4 linked regions of the Saccharomyces cerevisiae S288C genome follow. The protein of the gene in region 2 binds, or shares a complex with, the protein of the main gene of each other region. Each region holds a gene or a part of one and is shown on either strand. Other genes may lie near its edges. The genes, in order: TFB4, TFB2, SSL2 and SSL1. A codon is read from its position in the direction of its gene.

Evidence for each region.
Region 1: the proteins of TFB2 (region 2) and TFB4 are in contact, whole or in part, in a cryo-EM structure (PDB 7K01), measured with the Saccharomyces cerevisiae proteins. Residues at the interface, in NP_015203.1 of Saccharomyces cerevisiae: Leu33 (codon at 2,873), Tyr36 (codon at 2,864), Arg37 (codon at 2,861), Pro41 (codon at 2,849), Lys44 (codon at 2,840), Phe45 (codon at 2,837), Met48 (codon at 2,828), Ala49 (codon at 2,825), Phe52 (codon at 2,816), Asn53 (codon at 2,813), Lys64 (codon at 2,780), Trp65 (codon at 2,777), Val66 (codon at 2,774), Asn67 (codon at 2,771), Ser68 (codon at 2,768), Asn69 (codon at 2,765), Gly70 (codon at 2,762), Ala111 (codon at 2,639), Leu112 (codon at 2,636); in NP_015381.1 of Saccharomyces cerevisiae: Val59 (codon at 2,433), Asn62 (codon at 2,424), Ala63 (codon at 2,421), Ala66 (codon at 2,412), Phe67 (codon at 2,409), Asn68 (codon at 2,406), Met114 (codon at 2,268), Arg117 (codon at 2,259), Phe118 (codon at 2,256), Ile245 (codon at 1,875), Gln246 (codon at 1,872), Ala249 (codon at 1,863), Thr250 (codon at 1,860), Phe253 (codon at 1,851), Ile254 (codon at 1,848), Leu258 (codon at 1,836), Pro260 (codon at 1,830), Ile261 (codon at 1,827), Ile262 (codon at 1,824), Lys264 (codon at 1,818).
Region 3: the proteins of TFB2 (region 2) and SSL2 are in contact, whole or in part, in a cryo-EM structure (PDB 7K01), measured with the Saccharomyces cerevisiae proteins. Residues at the interface, in NP_015203.1 of Saccharomyces cerevisiae: Asn344 (codon at 1,940), Phe345 (codon at 1,937), Tyr350 (codon at 1,922), Ala368 (codon at 1,868), Arg369 (codon at 1,865), Phe370 (codon at 1,862), Val371 (codon at 1,859), Arg380 (codon at 1,832), Glu414 (codon at 1,730); in NP_012123.1 of Saccharomyces cerevisiae: His116 (codon at 2,687), Asp117 (codon at 2,684), Phe118 (codon at 2,681), Leu121 (codon at 2,672), Arg122 (codon at 2,669), Leu123 (codon at 2,666), Trp133 (codon at 2,636), Ile142 (codon at 2,609), Pro167 (codon at 2,534), Ser168 (codon at 2,531), His169 (codon at 2,528), Gln723 (codon at 866), Val727 (codon at 854).
Region 4: TFB2 (region 2) and SSL1 share a complex: the UniProt entries of both Saccharomyces cerevisiae proteins name them as parts of the 7-subunit TFIIH core complex.

The regions. Positions count from the first base shown.
Region 1 is NC_001148.4:669,241-673,732, reverse strand, and holds TFB4 (TFIIH/NER complex subunit TFB4), read right to left. Parts: upstream 2,608-4,492; coding exon 1,591-2,607; downstream 1-1,590. Other genes in the region: BRR1 (Brr1p), read right to left, coding at 237-1,262; exocyst subunit SEC8, read right to left, coding at 2,860-4,492. UniProt on the Saccharomyces cerevisiae protein: Component of the general transcription and DNA repair factor IIH (TFIIH) core complex, which is involved in general and transcription-coupled nucleotide excision repair (NER) of damaged DNA and, when complexed to TFIIK, in RNA transcription by RNA polymerase II.
Region 2 is NC_001148.4:317,799-322,279, forward strand, and holds TFB2 (TFIIH/NER complex subunit TFB2), read right to left. Parts: upstream 2,970-4,481; coding exon 1,428-2,969; downstream 1-1,427. Other genes in the region: RNY1 (ribonuclease T2), read right to left, coding at 1-1,147; MEI5 (Mei5p), read right to left, coding at 3,164-3,832; VPS30 (beclin 1), read left to right, coding at 4,273-4,481. UniProt on the Saccharomyces cerevisiae protein: Component of the general transcription and DNA repair factor IIH (TFIIH) core complex, which is involved in general and transcription-coupled nucleotide excision repair (NER) of damaged DNA and, when complexed to TFIIK, in RNA transcription by RNA polymerase II.
Region 3 is NC_001141.2:80,010-86,004, forward strand, and holds SSL2 (TFIIH/NER complex ATPase/helicase subunit SSL2), read right to left. Parts: upstream 3,033-5,995; coding exon 501-3,032; downstream 1-500. Other genes in the region: kinetochore-associated Ndc80 complex subunit NDC80, read left to right, coding at 1-140; chaperonin-containing T-complex subunit CCT2, read left to right, coding at 3,293-4,876; AXL2 (Axl2p), read left to right, coding at 5,357-5,995. UniProt on the Saccharomyces cerevisiae protein: ATP-dependent DNA translocase. Component of the general transcription and DNA repair factor IIH (TFIIH) core complex. When complexed to CDK-activating kinase (CAK), involved in RNA transcription by RNA polymerase II.
Region 4 is NC_001144.5:157,787-162,522, reverse strand, and holds SSL1 (TFIIH/NER complex subunit SSL1), read right to left. Parts: upstream 2,475-4,736; coding exon 1,089-2,474; downstream 1-1,088. Other genes in the region: mitogen-activated protein kinase kinase kinase SSK1, read left to right, coding at 1-768; THI73 (Thi73p), read left to right, coding at 3,018-4,589. UniProt on the Saccharomyces cerevisiae protein: Component of the general transcription and DNA repair factor IIH (TFIIH) core complex, which is involved in general and transcription-coupled nucleotide excision repair (NER) of damaged DNA and, when complexed to TFIIK, in RNA transcription by RNA polymerase II.

The sequences.
Region 1 (4,492 bases), 350 kb from region 2:
TTTGATTGACGAGAAACCTAAACAAGAGAGCTGCGTTGGAGTATAGATGATAGTTGTTATTAGCTTATTGACATTGATTGATGCTATAGCATGGCTACATCATCGCTGACAATTTGCGCTCGAGTTTTCTTAGGGCGCCGCTTATCTTCGGCCTATCAGTAAATGTAAGAATGAGTCAATCAAAGTAATAACACTTTTTACTTCCTGTAAAAAACTACATAAGAAATTTATTTACATTATTCTATCAAGTCTTTTTGACCATAGTTCACTGCTATAACAGACACTGTCAGCTCAGTTATCGTCATATTCTCCACCGCGGCTGGTATCTCAACATTCAATTCCGCCATCTCCTTCGGGAGTGTTATTTTATTCTCATGTGCTTCAACTGGCTTCTTTTGAATCAGTTCAAGGCATTTCTTTCCAAGATCTCTCAAGATGCTTGTATATTCTGCCGTGACTCTTTCGGGTGTATGTACCAGTATGTAGAATAGCCAATCTTGCAGCCGACGATAATGCCTTCCTTTCTTGTGTATTTCTTTTATCCATGTATTCGACATATACTTGATCAGAACCCAAAGTTGCTTAGAGGTAATCTTTTCATGAAAAGTAGTATGCTGCGGTTCATTGTTTATAAGGTATTGGAACCACTGGTTGTATCCAACTAGTTCATGTTTATCTCCTTCAGTGATTACTTTTTTTACATCCTCAACACTGTCAATCTTGGTTTTTTCCAGCCGTACCAAAATATTCTTCGCCCATTCCTCATCAATCTGAAGATTTTCTTCCTTCTCTTCTGCCTTCTCAGGAAAGGAATGCTGATTTAGGACACTTATAATTTTTTCAACTGTAGTACATTTGCTGGGCATATCTTCGAGATAATTCTTTAAGAAAAGCAATAAAAGATCCAGTGTTTCGTCCTCATAACCGGTAAACTCGTAGGCATTAGTCAACACCGTCGCCTTCACAGAGTTAAACCACCTTACCCATATTTCTACATTCCTTTGAAGCCTAATCAAGGATGGCGAGATGGCGTGCCTTTTAAGGGCCCCCTCATCCTCATCATCGTACATGCTTGATTTGTGACGCGTCCTCTTTTGCAGATTCATATGATTCTTAATCGATATGGCGTTGGTTCTTAGTGCTTCTTGCCTAACACTTTTAAGATATTCAATGACATCAGGATTCACTGAAGAATCAGATAGTGCAAATGCACGAGATTGACCAAAGATGGCATCAGGCGCCTGGCTTTCTCCTCTTTTCATTGTTTATCACCTAATGTTTCTGTTATGATGGATGTTGGCAATGTTATTGTATGATACATTATCCAAAGCGAACTAATAAATCTACCGAAGCAACAACAGCGATGCACCCAGACAGTACATAGATAGTTATATTATCAAATTCGATATGATTGAAGTCAAAACAGTTCAAAGATGACACAACGTCTTAAGCTAATCACATCAAAAGCTTTTTTTTTTCTGTGGAATGTCCAATATACATGTGCTTAAAGCTAATTTTTTTTTATGTATTATTACGATGCATTGTGACGAAGGTTACCTGCTTGAAACGGATAATGTTCATTCCTTTCGTTCATGGTTTCGTCACCTTCTTTTTGGCTTTCAACCTTGGAACAACTGGTTTCCTCTTCAACTTGGCAATTACGTGCTCATCAAATTGAGAATCACAAGCAGGACATTTATTTCCGGGCGGTATGATTGATAAGACACATAGGCAAACTGAACAGATGAATCCAACGGCAACAACTCTCCCTGTTAAATAGCATGATGTCCTAAAATCTACAGATCCATGGTTTGGCTTAACAATTATAGGTCTTAACGACGGATCAATAAACATTGCAGTTGCTAAATATTGAATTAGCCCTTCTGTAGATTCAACATGTAAATAAACGCCATTTGTGGCATCCGTCGTTTGCTGTAAAAACGTGCTTTCCTTAGAACCACCAATCTTTACGACATCAATGGGACATTTCATTTTTGTTGCGGAAAAAATACAGTTCATTATAGGGATGTATTGGAAAATTTCATCTTTACTACTGCCACTCCCGCACGTAAGAACAAGTAGCCTTGATTTTAATGAGGTAGTTACTGACTCTTTTGATATTCTGTTTACATAAGTCAGCCCAGCTGACATGGCACCTGCTAGCGTGCTCCTTTGACTATTTTGTTCGATTTGTTTCTTTTCTAACTCAAATAGTTTATATATTTCTTCCACTAGCGTCTCATCAACGTTTCTAAAACGTCTATACATATCTGAGTTAATAATCTTAAGATCACTACGGGTTTTATTTTCAGATTCAGAGGCTTTTAGAGCAGATGTGCTCTCTGGGTATAAATATTTGATTCCCTGAGAGTATGCAGCAATGACTGCTACTTTGTTGGCGCTATTGAACGCTAAGTGAGCATTGAGAAATACTATCAATGCCTCTAAAACCTTTATTATACTTCCTTTCTCATTTCCTTCCTCATCAAAAGTTGTCCATAACTTTGGTGCAATTTCTATAATAACGGTAAGCAAAGATGGTGATTCTTCAGTAACCTGTTTTCTTGATCTAGCATGCTTAAACGTTGGATCAGATATTGCATCCATTTCTGATTGCTTCGCTTCAGTATATTTTATTGGATCGTGTATATTTCTACTCAAGTGTTGATTGATGTTGTAATGTTCCTTCAGGTATCTTTGAATTTCAACAGAACAAGACGAGCTGCGCGCTGAAAATAAAATAAAAGTGCAAGTGAAAAATATTGTAAAAATAAGGTAATTAAAAATATAGTTATTCGCTTATTATTGATCATTTTCATTCATTTATTTATCAAATTAATTTTACACAAACTAAAAATGTCATTTTTCGTTTGCAGTATGGACAGCATTCAATTTGCTTTTAAGTTTTCCAATCTTGGTGCGGGCTCCTTCTTTCGACTGCTCTTTTTCGAGGTTACTTAGTTTCTCCAAAGCTTCAGTGTACCTCTTATTGGAAGGTTTTATGGAACCCTTAGTTGAGCTAGTGCTTTGTCTCTTCAATTGACGATGCATTTCCTCGCTAAACTGCAGCCTCAATATGGTTTTCAAATCTTCGACAGAACAATGCGGTAATTCATTGTCTTTTATATATTCAAATAGTTCAGCTTCACTGGAGCCGCATAAAGAGTAAAAATTCATTGTGACGTTCATATTAATTTTTGATGGTTCAGAAGAAAGATTTCTATAGGCATGTTGTAAGACATTTACATTTCTCAACATTTTCTTTATCCCGTTATGGTTCAAAACTTTTATGGATTTGGCACCCTTAATCAAGGCGTAGTTGTTGACTATATCAAGACCAATAAATATGGAGTTTTTTTCCTTTTCTGGTAACTGTTGTTTCAATTTGCTTTCAGTCCTTCTTAATTCGGAAATTAGAGAAGCTATATTTTGATCTAATTCAATACTACCCACATCCATATTCCAAATTTTGGTGTTTTGAAAAAAAGACCCGATGTCGTATATACACAAGGCCCTAATGTTGAACCTCAGTATAGTGATTAGTTTGAATTTCAAGGTTTTGAATCCGTCGATAGTCTCATCAAATTTTTTGGAGGCTTTATCATCCAATAAAATTTTTAGATTTCCTAATGAATTTGGGCTGGAACTAGGGTTCGAATAGTTTAAATCCATTGATTCAGAAAATGTCCAGCTGCTCCTTAATCTATCAGCATCTAACATGGGTTCTTGGCTTACTTCATCAATATTGATAGCCTTTTTTAAGCCTGGCAGCCAGTTTAATATCCATAACACGCTTGCCGAAAACTGCAGAATTGTGTCCAATGTCAAGTTATTGAATAAATCAGATTTGCTCAAACCTTTACCCGCTTGATAGAAATGAGGTATTTCCTTAAATAACTCTATGGATTCTTCATGAAAGAGTGTCTCATCCCCATTCAGAATTTTTTGTTCTTGATCCATCAAAATACCATTCTGCAACCATGCCGTAATTATTTTCCTAGTTAAATGTCTATCAGAAGTACCAATCAAGGAATTAAATAGCCCCAAGTAGTAATTATAAAAATGATTCAAAAGATCTAGAATGCAGTACGATATTTTTTCTCTAAATGTGTTTGCTGTGTTGAAAACATTCAATAAATTGTAAAATAACCTTTGAAAATCTAATGCTGTTTTAAAAATGTTATGATTTTCATCGGATAGCTCTAAGGCGTACGGATTATTGGATTCTACTTCAACCGTGAATAAATAATCCATAGTCATCTGAATCTTTGGGAGAAAACTTTTATTCATATAATCATCGAAAAAGGTTAGGGATGAAATAGTATTTTGTGTTAAGACACTGGGAACAATTGTAGATGTCGATTGCGTAAACAGCAAAAACGGATCTAAAATTACCTTCATGTTGAAAACAGAAGGAGGGACTAGAGGCTCATCTTGTTCGAAGGATTCATCTTTTACATAAATAGAGTCTAAATCCATGTTTGAGGAGACA
Region 2 (4,481 bases):
GATCAAAATCGAATTGACCTGCATCCTTAATGTTCCTGAATTTGCAGACCAATTCATTAGATGAAGACGAAATAATGTCACAAAACCCTTGGTTAGTTCTCAAGTAGTAATTCCCATAGGGAGATTTAATCAACTCGTAATTCGCTGGTGTACCTTGACTCATCCAGTGTCCATTCTTGATTAGAAAGCCTTGCATCTGATCTCCATTATTAATATTTGATAGACGAACGACTCCTCTGTATCTTGCTCCCTTATTAGGTCTCCTCCTGAAAGTTGGGACATAACCTTTTGGAAAAAACTTAATACCATCTTTTTTACAATTTGTTCGAATGGCAAGTGAGTCCATGGGCACAAACATTTCGCTCAAAAGGGAACCCTTCAAGTGGTTATAATACCATACTTCGTTTAAGGAATTATGTCTATCACAGCCTATGAAGACTTTTTTTCCTTCAAACTCTTTACTTAGTGCTGCCTCTATCTGCTCCAAAGAATAGGAATTGTCCACACTTGGGACAATATTATTTTTTTCTAGTGTTGAAAATGTGTCCAATTTCTTGAATAGATTATAAGTTATTCTAAAATAATCATAGACCGCTCTTTTTCTGTCAACACTATTAGCACCCCACTCAGTATAGCACTCTGGTCTAATTGTGCTAATGCACGTGCCATGTTTATTAAACTCGTGTATCCATAAGGACTCATGATTCCCGTTATTACTCTTCCAATATAAGTCTAGGTATTCAAGCAGCTTTTCGCCCGATATTTGCAGGGATGTATCATTATTATTAAATTTCTTGTCATGCAATAAGTAGTAAACATCGTCAATTTGTAAGGACCTATTACAGAATTGTTGGTAGCCACCATGACAATTATCTGGCCATAATCCGTGAATTGTAAATGAATCTAGAGGCCCTAACTCCTTCACTAATTCAGTTTCATTTAAATCGTTTTTGCTTGGAAAGTAATTCCAGAATTGGGTTTGTAAAAATATTCCACCTGGATATTCAAAACAACACGAGTTGTCTATATCAGTTTTATTGGAACATGATAATGGAATGTTTATAGGGCAGTTTGGTTCTATACCCTTATCTGCTCCATTCGAAAAAATTGGTAGTTGTAAGAGACTGTGTAAGTTTTTCAGTAACATTGACACAGTACTTTAGTTTGAAATATCTTAAATAGTTGGCCTTGCAATAGGTCGAAAGTTGAAGCGTTAATTATAAATTCGGTAGTTCCCCTACTTTTCGATAGGTTTGCATTTAAGGGATATTTTAGGAAAAGCTTAGATACCGAAATTTTGTTGATAGAGATGCAAAAGAAGAAAGAATGAAAAAGGAAAACAATTACTGCGCAAGAAAGACGCGTGTGTTAGCGCAATTGTTACGTTGAATGCATTGATATGTAGGGGCATATATATGTATATATACTTATTGTTTCTTTTTCAACTTTCTTTTAGCGAAATCAAGTACTTGAGAATTACCTTCCTTTGAGATGAAAAATTTCTTCTTTTTGTCGTCTTTCCACAACAAAACACCGATATCTTGAGCGTACTTACTTAGTAAGTTGTATTCTTGACTAGTCTCAAAATCAGAATATAAGGAACCTTCATATGTAATGACTCTATCTAACTCTAATTGCCATAATCTGATTTGATCTACGACGGTAGGAGGCAAAACTTGTAAAGGCTCCTTACAGTTGGGGTCCAGCTCTAATTTTTTTTCTAGTTTCTCTTCTGCCAACCTTCTCATTTGAGGATGTGCATGTGTCTCCAGATAGGCAATGATTTGGTCGGCAGTGATACCATTGGTCAATGCTCTTCTTATGGATTCCCTTGTTATTTGACCCAATACCATATTCACAAATCTTGCCTTTAAATGAACAAAAAGAGACAAAACAGCAATTTGCAGAGGTGAATTAGAATATGAATAGATTTTGAAATTTGTTTCTACAATCAATGAGCCATCGGGTATATCTTGATTTTTTAGACCTGCTTTGTTCAAATCATCTGATGTAGTGATATCTGTTGTGGATTTCCCGTTGGCGCCGTCTTCATTTACTGACGGCTCTTCTCTATTCTGTCTCAGTACACTATCCATCGCATTGGAGGCAGATCTGATTGTCTTGGTATCGGAAGTCAGCATCAAAGCTAATTTTGTTGGATAAAAAATGCTATCATTTGAATGCTTCTGGAATACCAAACCATAGTCTCGCATATCTTGTAACATAATTCTTTGTGTTTCGCTTAATGCATCGATTTTATAGGCTTTGCCAACTTCCAATGCGCCTAACATGAAAATAAAATGTAAAACATCGACTAAATCCATTTTGGACGTTTCGATCATTTTTAAATATTGCAATAATAATGTCCATAATTGGGAGTTGATTTCTTGTAAAAGAAATTGGAAGCCTTCATTAGTGATTTTGAACTCTCCAGTAGAGTTTACCTCTTCCATTAGTTTACTGTGTTTTAAAAGGTTCAGTACTTTTTCAGATGGGATTTTAGCGAGGGGAGTGCCAACCATGAAATGTAATATTGTTTCCCATTTATTAGCTGAATATTCATCCAACAAGTCCAGGCTAACTACGTTTTCCTCTACAACCACACCGAATGAGTTTTGAACTTCCCCACCCGTTAATGCGTTCCTCAGGCTGATTTTGAATGTTGGGTTTAGGTTGATCATCAAAGTACCAGATGATTTATTTGGTATAAGAAGATGCAAAGACTTCATCGATTTGATTGCATTCTGAAACTGCAATTTACCATTAGAGTTAACCCATTTATCTAAATCCAACAAAGGTACTTCATTTTCGTTGAAAACCATTGCCATGATAAAAAATTTAGCTAGTGGTGGTAAAATTCTATAGATAGCCAGACATGTAGCTGGTGAGGTATAAAGCCTATTTTGAACTTGTTGAGGAATTTCTTCCAAATACTGAGTGACCGAATGCTTCAGGGAATAGTCACTCATTATATTGTTCACTTCTTCCCTTTGATGGTGGCTTTTAATGCTAAGTTACTAGTATTGTATTCTGACGATGAAGTTAGGTTATATGTGAATATATGATGGTGCGTAATTTGCGCTACAACAAAAAAATACATTCGTTTTTTCAGTAATCGCGTACCTAATAGAAATGCAAGATGAATAAACGTTTTACGCATTTTTCATTGTGGAAAGATTAAGCTGTAGTCAAGTTTTAACCTAGTGCATAGTTCAGCCATTCCAAAATCTTTCCCTTCGCTATCATGCAGCACCTTATTCAATTTTTCCAGCTCCGCTATTTTTTTTTTTTCCAACTCTTTCAGCTGTTCATTCATTTGACTCTCCCACTCTTGTTTCTCAACTTCTGAAAGTTGTCTAAAGTCATCACTTTCCTTTATTTCACAGATTTGATCTTCCATACCGTTGTCAATCTGATATTCCAATCTTCTCTTTTTAGCCTCCATTTCTTTTTCTAGAAAATCTTTATAGCCGCCCATTCTATTGATTTTGATTAAAGTGGAATTTAAAATAAAAGACAGTTCCATCTCACAAATTGTCCTCCATTTTTCTATGGATTTTCTGTTCTCAATGATCTTGTTTTCGCTGAGAATTTTACAAGCCTGCTGTAAGTGATTATTTTCTTGCCTGAGAAGAGTAAGTTGTTTCGTTAACTCCCTATTTTTTATCGCAATTTCCTTCTGGTTCGTAGGCTTCTTCAAGTCCTTAATACCGCTTTTACCGACCCGATAGTTATTAGTGTCCTTTTTTGTATAAGAATGGTTGATGCAAGTATTTTCTTCTTCGTTCACCAAAGTTTTGTCCTTGTCTAGCCACTCTTCCTGATTGTGCATTACTATTAGATAACTGTAATTTGGTGCTTTTCCTGGAAAGTATACTTGTGATGTGGAAGTATTTTAAGTTCAAGTTTCTTGTTTTCTTTCCTATTTATGCGGAAGGTACATAGAAGTTTGGGCGGCTAATACTTTTTCCGCGGCTAATCCTATAGTAAAATGATCACTTTCATATAGAAAGTTGGTATATAAAGTGTCAACTAAGAGAGAAATAGTTCGAACCAGGTGTATTTTAAATCAACTATCGGGAAGTATGGACTGGTGGTATAATCGAATTACATAGTCCTTTTACCTTCATTAGTAGTACTTAAGTGTCACCCGCCTGGGGATTTTGCTCTCATAGAAGTAAAAGGGTAGTGCTATGGGAGCACATTAGGTAGTTCAGTTACGTTTTATGGCAGTCACTGTTTTCGCAAAGACTCCCAGACACGGGCATTAAAATGAAGTGCCAAACATGTCACTTACCCCTGCAACTAGACCCATCTTTAGAAGGTCTTAGTTTAACCCAAAGAAATTTGCTACTTTCAAATAATTCAATTATCACTGCAACGAATGAAAATGTCATCAGCAACAAGGGCATCGAAGCCGCAGATAATTGTGGGCCTCAAATACCGAAGGAGAGGCTGAGGCGATTAGGGGAGATTCAGAA
Region 3 (5,995 bases), on a different chromosome or scaffold from region 2:
TGATACATGTTATTGATATAACAAGTAAATTTAAAATTAATATTCAATCGTCATTGGAAAACTCTGAAAACGAATTAGGAAACGTCATTGAAGAGTTACGAAATTTGGAGTTTGAAACTGAACATAACGTAACAAATTAATAAAATAAATGATATATAATACCCGAGCAATCTACAGCAAAGCTCAGCCCCACCTTTCCGCATTTTAATAACCTGCATTTTGTTCAATTCCACCCTCACTCCCCTTCTCAAGTATTCCAAACCAATTTAAGTAAGTATTGATATGTAGTTATTTTTAAAATAAATATATGTAAGTATATTTGGATGCTTTAATTAGGAATGTTCTATTTTTTTTTTATTTTTTATATTATGGAAGAAAATGGACGTGACGAATCAATAAAAGAAAGAACAGCGACGAAAGAATAAGAAGACGGTGGGAACAAAAAGGTATTATGACTGAATAGATTCAAAATAGGAAGGTGACAATGAAACCAAGCCTATTCACTTCTTCAAATTCTTATAATACATCTTTCTGATTAATGGATGATGTTCCTTCAGTTCTTTGTTTTTATTGGTACTGTATTCCATATATGCCATATCTTCACCGCCAGCAAGACCAGACAATGAACCTTCACCTCTAACGGCCTTTGATTTAAATCTTTTGTGGCCATTTGAACCTCTCCCAACAGAATTGTCAGCGTCATCACCGACCTCGATACCAGCAGCTTCTTCGTTCTTCAATAATACTTCTTGCAATAGCTCTCTACGTTCTCTGGGTGAAGCATATGCCAAATTTGGAATGTTCTCCATTCCGTGTAAATGTGTAATGACTTTGAATGCGTAACCTTGATCTACCAAAAACGCTTGTCTCTTTGTTGAGTAGTACATTTCTTGCGTATCCTTAGAAACCAGAGAATAAAAGAACGCATTGAAACCTTCGTCATTACGTCTTTTAGCTCTTAAAATTCTTCCTAATCTTTGGGCTTCTTGACGACGAGACCCATAGTGCGAAGATATTTGAATTAAACAGGTAGCTTCTGGTAAATCGATGGAAGTATCACCAACTTTTGATAGAAATATGGTATTGATTTGGTCATTGTACTGGAAATTTTGCAGAATGTTCATACGCTCTTGTTGTGGTGTGGAACCATAAATAAATGGTTTTCCCATTTTCAAAGCATATTCTTGTAAGGCGTAAACATTATCTGAAAAAACGATGATCTTATCACCCCTCCTTTCGTGATATTGAATTAAGAATTGGCATGCCTGAAACTTTGTTGGATTCATGATATACAGTAGCATTCTTTTCCTTGCAGTTTCTCTTAAATACTCTTGGTAAAATTCTGCTGTCATGGGACACCAAACCTCTGCACATTGGACATTTGCAATATGTCCTTTTTGGGATAATTCCATCCAATTTGCTTCATAAAGTTTTGGACCAATTAAAAAATTCAGATCACCAATTTTATCATCTTCTCTAACCAGCGTTGCGGTCAGTCCCAATTTGGCGTGTGCTGCGATGGTGGAGACCACCCTACGGAACATTGCGGCGGGCACCACATGAACTTCGTCAAGAATAATGAACCCCCATTCCCTACCGGTCAAGAAATCCATAACTTTTTGTGAATCATGAGACCTGTTTCTTGTGTTTGCCACCATTGAATAAGTGGAAACAACCAAACCGGATTCTGTCTGGAACATTTCCTTATTATCAGAGGTGAAAACAGCACAATTTTCAGGTTGTAAGGTACACCATTGTAAAAATTGCTGCCTCCATTGCATGACGGAGACTGATGAAGTACATAAAACAATTACGGATTTTTTTATAGTACATGCTGCGGTAATACCGACCAAAGTTTTACCTGCGCCACATGGCAAAACAATAATCCCTGAACGAGCACGCCCATTACCAAACATTTTACTCAGCGATTTTTCTTGATAGGGTCTGATTTGAGTGGAAGGTTTCAAATCAATATCTAAATCCGGGTTTCTATGGTCGTTTCTAAAGTCGTATTCTTCCAACACGGGATAATCGATTTCTTGACATCTTTTCTTTACGACTTCAACAGACTCATTGGCAATTTCAAAGGAGTGAACGGCATCAATATCATCATCTTCTTCTTCCCGCTCATTATCACCACCTATAACTGCACTAAACACGGCTTCCACATCGTTCGGATTAACATTAGTAGCGGGTTTTCCAGCGGTTTGCTGAAGTTGTTGCTGTAGTACATCCTCTGGTGGCTGTACTTGATGATCGCTATCTATTCTTAGGGGCCCGATGACGGAATCATTCAGCAACATTTGCAGAATATCTGCTTGTGTAGTCTCCACGAAATATCTATTATGCTTAATAACTAGTTTCACTTTACCGTATGAAATGGTAGCCCCTTTAATGAAGTTGATTATCGATTCAGCAACGGGTACTTTGGATAATCTATCCAGAACTGAAATGATATCATCCGTCTCCAACCCTACAGAAACAGCTGCATACAAAGAGTATGCTGTGATCTTGTATTCATGAATATGGGAGGGTCTACTTATAGGCTCTGCAATGGTGACCAGAAAGTCCTGAGCCTGTTCTGCTAATGGAGAGAAACTCTCCAGAATGATCCTACCGTCACTTGGCGAGATCCAAAGGGGCCTGGAAGCATGGTCTGGTCTTAACCGCAAATAACTAAAGTCATGGCTTCTGAACATTCCAGAGACGGAATCTGGAACGAAATCTGCTGGTATATCGCTATTAGTGTCCTGCAAAAGCGCTTTATCCTTAGCGTCCATTTGATTCATAGAGGAATCCGCCGCTGTATGCCTGCTACTCTTGGTCTTTTTCCGAGGCTTCTTCAACCCTGTTACCATGGCGCCGGTATCCCTTTCTCCACGTCCTTCTGACGTTTCCCTGTTATCATCATAGTTCTCATCGATCTCTGCATCAGTAGCTGGTGAATCCTCATCTGATGAGAAAAAGGACTCACCCATATCTGGAAAGATTTTCCCCTTGCTCTTAGGTTGGTAGCCTTCAACGTCCGTCATGATTTATCTTCCACTGATTCCAACGTCAGTAGATGCTACTTTTACTAAATAATGTAGATATCATTACTATTATCTATCCTTACTAAGGACCTTTTTCCTTATACTTCTTAGAAGAAAAACCTCGTTTCTAACGATCTGAAATTTTTTTCTCTTCGCGGTGGCGAGTTTAAAAGACAAGAGCAGAGCAATAAAAAAGAGGATGAAAGGTGGCCATTAAATAGGCAAGAAGAGTCAGTCGTACAAAGCTCAAAAGATTCAGGATGAGTGTACAGATATTTGGAGACCAGGTTACAGAAGAAAGAGCGGAAAACGCCCGTTTGTCGGCGTTTGTCGGTGCCATTGCCGTGGGTGATTTGGTGAAAAGCACATTAGGCCCAAAAGGGATGGATAAATTATTGCAAAGTGCGTCCAGTAACACTTGCATGGTAACAAACGATGGTGCTACGATTCTGAAGTCAATTCCGCTGGATAATCCCGCAGCCAAAGTGTTGGTGAACATCAGTAAGGTGCAGGATGACGAAGTTGGAGATGGTACCACTAGTGTTACTGTTTTGAGCGCAGAGTTGCTTAGAGAAGCAGAGAAGTTGATTGATCAATCCAAAATCCACCCTCAAACTATTATTGAAGGTTACCGACTAGCTTCAGCAGCCGCATTGGATGCGTTAACGAAAGCGGCTGTTGACAACTCTCATGATAAGACCATGTTCCGTGAAGATCTGATCCATATTGCCAAGACTACTTTATCTTCCAAAATTTTGTCTCAGGATAAGGATCACTTCGCAGAATTAGCAACTAATGCTATTTTGAGATTGAAGGGCTCCACTAACTTAGAACATATTCAGATCATTAAGATTCTTGGTGGAAAGCTATCAGATTCGTTCCTTGACGAAGGTTTCATTCTTGCCAAAAAATTTGGTAACAACCAACCCAAGAGAATTGAAAATGCTAAGATTCTAATCGCCAATACAACTTTGGATACAGACAAGGTCAAAATATTCGGCACCAAATTCAAAGTCGATTCTACTGCTAAATTGGCACAACTAGAAAAGGCAGAACGTGAAAAGATGAAGAATAAAATTGCCAAGATTTCCAAGTTTGGTATCAACACTTTCATCAATAGACAACTAATTTATGACTATCCAGAGCAATTATTTACAGATTTGGGCATAAACTCAATTGAGCATGCTGATTTTGAAGGTGTAGAAAGGCTCGCCCTGGTTACAGGCGGTGAGGTGGTGTCTACATTTGACGAGCCAAGTAAATGCAAACTGGGAGAATGTGACGTGATCGAGGAAATTATGCTTGGTGAACAGCCATTCTTGAAGTTTAGTGGTTGCAAAGCTGGTGAAGCTTGTACCATCGTCCTAAGAGGTGCTACCGACCAAACGCTTGATGAAGCTGAGAGATCCCTGCATGACGCATTGTCCGTGTTGTCACAGACCACAAAGGAAACAAGAACTGTTCTTGGCGGCGGTTGCGCCGAGATGGTCATGTCAAAAGCTGTGGACACCGAAGCTCAAAACATCGACGGAAAGAAGTCCCTTGCCGTGGAGGCTTTTGCCCGTGCTCTGAGACAACTGCCAACCATTTTGGCAGATAATGCTGGTTTTGACAGCAGCGAACTTGTGTCCAAACTAAGATCCTCCATATACAACGGTATCTCCACCTCAGGTTTAGATCTCAACAACGGAACCATTGCCGACATGAGACAGTTAGGTATCGTCGAGAGTTACAAGCTAAAACGAGCAGTAGTCAGCTCTGCATCTGAAGCCGCTGAAGTTCTACTAAGGGTGGATAACATCATCCGTGCAAGACCAAGAACCGCCAATAGACAACATATGTAACATATTTAGGATATACCTCGAAAATAATAAACCGCCACACTGTCATTATTATAATTAGAAACAGAACGCAAAAATTATCCACTATATAATTCAAAGACGCGAAAAAAAAAGAACAACGCGTCATAGAACTTTTGGCAATTCGCGTCACAAATAAATTTTGGCAACTTATGTTTCCTCTTCGAGCAGTACTCGAGCCCTGTCTCAAGAATGTAATAATACCCATCGTAGGTATGGTTAAAGATAGCATCTCCACAACCTCAAAGCTCCTTGCCGAGAGTCGCCCTCCTTTGTCGAGTAATTTTCACTTTTCATATGAGAACTTATTTTCTTATTCTTTACTCTCACATCCTGTAGTGATTGACACTGCAACAGCCACCATCACTAGAAGAACAGAACAATTACTTAATAGAAAAATTATATCTTCCTCGAAACGATTTCCTGCTTCCAACATCTACGTATATCAAGAAGCATTCACTTACCATGACACAGCTTCAGATTTCATTATTGCTGACAGCTACTATATCACTACTCCATCTAGTAGTGGCCACGCCCTATGAGGCATATCCTATCGGAAAACAATACCCCCCAGTGGCAAGAGTCAATGAATCGTTTACATTTCAAATTTCCAATGATACCTATAAATCGTCTGTAGACAAGACAGCTCAAATAACATACAATTGCTTCGACTTACCGAGCTGGCTTTCGTTTGACTCTAGTTCTAGAACGTTCTCAGGTGAACCTTCTTCTGACTTACTATCTGATGCGAACACCACGTTGTATTTCAATGTAATACTCGAGGGTACGGACTCTGCCGACAGCACGTCTTTGAACAATACATACCAATTTGTTGTTACAAACCGTCCATCCATCTCGCTATCGTCAGATTTCAATCTATTGGCGTTGTTAAAAAACTATGGTTATACTAACGGCAAAAACGCTCTGAAACTAGATCCTAATGAAGTCTTCAACGTGACTTTTGACCGTTCAATGTTCACTAACGAAGAATCCATTGTGTCGTATTACGGACGTTCTCAGTTGTATAATGCGCCGTTACCCAATTGGCTGTTCTTCGATTCTGGCGAGTTGAAGTTTACTGGGACGGCACCGGTGATAAACTCG
Region 4 (4,736 bases), on a different chromosome or scaffold from region 2:
CCCGCATCACCAATATTAACAAGTAGTCAAACGCCGCATTACTCAAACTCGCTTTATAACGCACCTTTTGCTGTTTCCTCTCCACCAGATCCTTTACCAAACCTTTTTACCACCACAAGTGAAAAAGTTTTCCCCAAAATTAATGTTTTAATAGTTGAAGACAACGTCATCAACCAAGCTATCTTAGGTTCCTTTCTGAGGAAACACAAAATCTCATATAAACTGGCTAAAAATGGTCAAGAAGCTGTTAATATTTGGAAGGAAGGCGGTCTTCATTTAATATTTATGGATTTACAGCTGCCTGTCTTGTCTGGTATAGAAGCTGCCAAGCAGATTAGGGACTTCGAAAAACAAAATGGCATTGGCATTCAAAAAAGTCTCAATAACTCACACTCCAATCTTGAAAAAGGTACTTCAAAGAGATTCTCTCAGGCGCCCGTGATTATTGTAGCATTGACCGCATCTAACTCTCAGATGGATAAAAGAAAAGCACTTCTTTCTGGTTGTAACGACTACCTGACTAAACCAGTGAATTTACACTGGCTTAGTAAGAAAATTACAGAGTGGGGATGTATGCAAGCCTTGATTGATTTTGACAGCTGGAAGCAGGGAGAAAGCCGGATGACCGACAGTGTTTTGGTTAAATCTCCACAGAAACCTATTGCACCTTCCAACCCTCACTCATTCAAACAAGCGACATCTATGACCCCTACACACAGCCCAGTAAGAAAAAATTCAAACCTCTCGCCCACTCAAATAGAATTGTGAGTTTGGTTGTACCGTGTAGAGGACATTATGATAGAATGTAACGATATTTATTCAAAATAATTATTAATATTATTGTAAAACAAAGAATTTTTTTTTTTTTTTTAGTTGAATAAGTGCCTGATAAATTGAAAATAGTAATAAATATTCTTAATGCCGTAAGTGCTATTAAGATTTTCTCGTAATAAACAATAGGACATTAAATGAGGTTATTTTTGTAATAATTATGTAGTTATATGTCCATCAAAAACTATTTCGTTCTCTACTACTTGGATTTGTTATATGATGGAAGAGTGATCGTGTTATACGCTGACAGATTTTCGTTAAGTTATTACGGGCTTGGATTCACAGCCTGGGCAGTTATGAAGGATTTCATGGATGAACACATCGCAGTCAACACAAAATTCTTGTTTACAATCTTCACAACGATAGCGAGAACTTGTCAGTAGTTTACCATTTTTATGGTTTTTCAGTATGGGAAATCTTGACTGGCAACTAAAGCAGTCTTCTGATCGAAATTTTTCTGTTGTAGGTACTTCTGCAAATGTTTTTAACGGCATCAGATGGTGATATGATCTGGCCAGGTGGGTAGAAAGGATTAGCATCAAGTCACAACATGGACAGACTGTGGGCAATGAACAAACTTTACTATGACAATTGGGACAGAAGTATCCGCCGTAAACTAACTTGGAATGGCACGAACAAAAAGTTGGAGTATCTTCGAATATCCTTGTCGGAAACCCCATCTTTACGAGTGTGAAACCCTTATTAATTTTGTTAACGGGTAAAGGGGTAACAGCCTCGTTAAATAGCTCCTTTAAGTGAGTTTCATCGAGTAAAATTTTATAGAAGGATTCATCACCATAATTCGTTGCCTTGCATAATTCTTTACATATGGCCACTTGAGCTGATAACCCCAAAACCTTCACTCTAATTTTCTCAGAAACTAACGAATCGATAGTTTGGTGAATATCTCCAGGATCAGTTGTGGAAAGACTACCAAATACAATCAGTACTTCCCTTGTACAATGCGCAGGAACAGGCAATAAAAGGCCTCTTGCCATTTCCAATGCATTTTGCAATGAAGGGTTTCCTTTCGGTTCTTGTTTCCTGATGGATTTCAACGCATCAATGTGATCCTGCGGGTTTCCGCTAACTTGGCTGACCAGTTGTGCCAAACCGTTTCTCATTATGATAATACCCATTTGAGATATCGGATTTTGGTCGAAAAATTCATGGACAAAATCTATGGCGTACTGGATAATCATGGCATGCCTGTTTGGTCTCAAATCCTTTTCCAACATAGCTTCACTACAATCTAGTGTTAATATTAAACTTCTGATAATACCTCTTTGGTATGGCGTTATGTTTTTCTTAGCAGTACGTTTCTTTCTGGCCTCGACTATGCTAGCCACAAGAGATGCCATATCCCCTTCATCGTCCACTTTCACCAAATCCCAACTTCTCTTGATCTCATCCTCCCAAGCGTACCCACCATTTGAACCTTGCAGGTTTCTATTCGAGAGCCTTTTCTTCTTCTTACGCTGCACATGTTTATCCCTATCCCTGTGGCTTGAACTGTGCTGCTGTTGCTGTTGGTCTACACGATCATCTCCCTCGCCATCAAAATGAACTTGTCTCTTAGTTCTTCTAGTAATGGCAACTCTATCCTCATCCTCTTCAGATTCTGAAATAACTACAGGAGCCATTCTACTGCACAATCCTTCCGCACACACGCAATTAGCTGCCGACTTGCCCCACTAGTAATCACCTGCATCTATATAAGATAAGATGAAGACCTTTTACGTATCTTGAAAAACTATACAATAGCAAAGAAACCTACCACCCAGACCCTGTGCGGAGTATCTCGAACTTCCAGTATATTACTCTCAAGTAGATGACGCGTAATAGACAGGTTTTATTGGCAAATTTCGAGTCGCTATCATTATCAACATTAATTATAGGGTGGTGTTTGGTTGGTTCGAGTGCCGTCATAACTATTTGTTTTTTTTGCATATCTGGTTGATCCTCCTTAGTTAATATAGTCTCTTTGAGTTTCCCTTAAGGAACTGTCATTTGGTCCGGCGGAAAACATGGTGGTGACAGACAGCCTTTTCAGAGGTGATGAGCAATCTCGATGAGCATCTCAGCGGGTGCATATATACACGTATATAAGATAGTTCAAAGTATGATAGATTAAAGTTTACTTTGTTGTTGCTGAGAAGTAGTGAGAGTGTCAGCAAATCAATACAATGAAAAACATGTCACAACGATCCATGGACGTGGAGAAGAAGGCAGCTAACGCTGATAGTTGTTCCGTAAGTACCTCGAGCATTAATGTAGACGATGCGGACGTTGCTTTAAGATTCCTGAAACAGAACGGTCTCGACGAAAGCTCCACGGCTAATGAAGACGATGTTGTAGCAGGCGAAGAAGCCAACTTCTATGGTTCCCATGAATTATCTCCTAAGGTCCTGAGAAAAGTTGACCTCTTCATCCTGCCCTTTTTATGCTGTACATATCTTCTGATGTTTTTGGATAAGGCTCTGCTGAACTACGCTGCATCTATGGGTATCAAAGATCATTTGAAAGGTAACGAATTTTCTAATTTGGGTACTATCTTTTCTGCTGCTTACATTTTCATGGAACCTGTGGTCACTTACTTAATTCAAAAATTCCCCATTTCCAAAATCCTAGGTACTTTTATTACCGTCTGGGGTATCGTGTTGGCTTGCCATGCTGCTTGTAAGACGTACGCCTCGTTGATGGTCGTTCGTACTCTCCTAGGTCTCTTTGAATCCTCGAGTGCAGTTGGTTGTATCGCTATTAGTGGTATGTACTATACTAAATCTGAACAGAGTGCAAGAATTGGATTCTGGGCCACACAGGCTGGTACAGGTTATATTGTGGGCGGGTTAATTTCTTTTGGCTTTTTACATTATCATGGTACCGCTTTCACCTCTTGGCAAATAATGTTTTTGGTCGTTGGTCTGGTTACAGTTGCGTTTGGTGTTCTAACATTCTTATACCTTCCAGATAACGTCACCAATGCTTGGTTCCTAAACAAAGAGGAAAAAATTCAAGTTGTTGAGCATATCAGAGCTAACCAAACTGGCCTGGAAACAAAGAAGTTTAAGAAGCAGCAAGTTAAAGAACTATTCCTTCATGATAAGTTTACTTGGCCGATGCTTTTATTAACTGCATGTTCTCAAATTTCTACTGGTGCCATTGGTACATTTTCAGTGACCATCACTGGTACTTTTGGTTTCGACAAGTACGAAACAGCATTACTGCAGTTGCCTATTGGTGCCATTACGGCTATGATTATTCTTATAACAACTCAAATGTTGTCCCGCTGGGGTCATATCACACTCATAACCACATCTATGTATATTCCAGCTATTATAGGTTGTATCGTTCTTATCAGTTTACCCTTATCCCATAAGATCGGTAACTTATTTTCTCTGTACTTGCTTTACAGTGGTTCCTGTGTCATTACCAATATTTACATCTGGAATTCATGCAACACCTCCGGTTACACCAAAAGAGTTTTTAGAAATGCTATTACAATGATTGTATACAATGTCTCCTGTATTATTGCTCCACAGATGTTTAGGGCATACTCTGCTCCACGTTACATACCAGCAAAGATTGCCTTATTGGTCACTCAGTGTGTTTGTGTTCCCCTACAATTATACATTGGCTACATTTGCAAGAAGGAGAACGAAAAGCGTGATAAGGAACAAGAAGGTCAAGAAAGGAAGAAGTACCAATTTTTGGACTTGACTGATATCGAAAACAGAAATTTCAGGTACATTTACTAATAATCAACTTTTAATTTACAATATATAATATTTTTAGTCTGTAATATTCAATATTCAAAGACACCCAAACATTCATTGCACTTGGTATTTACCAAAAAATTGAAGAGAAAATTTTTGAGATGACCATGGATGAGGCAATGAAAGTCG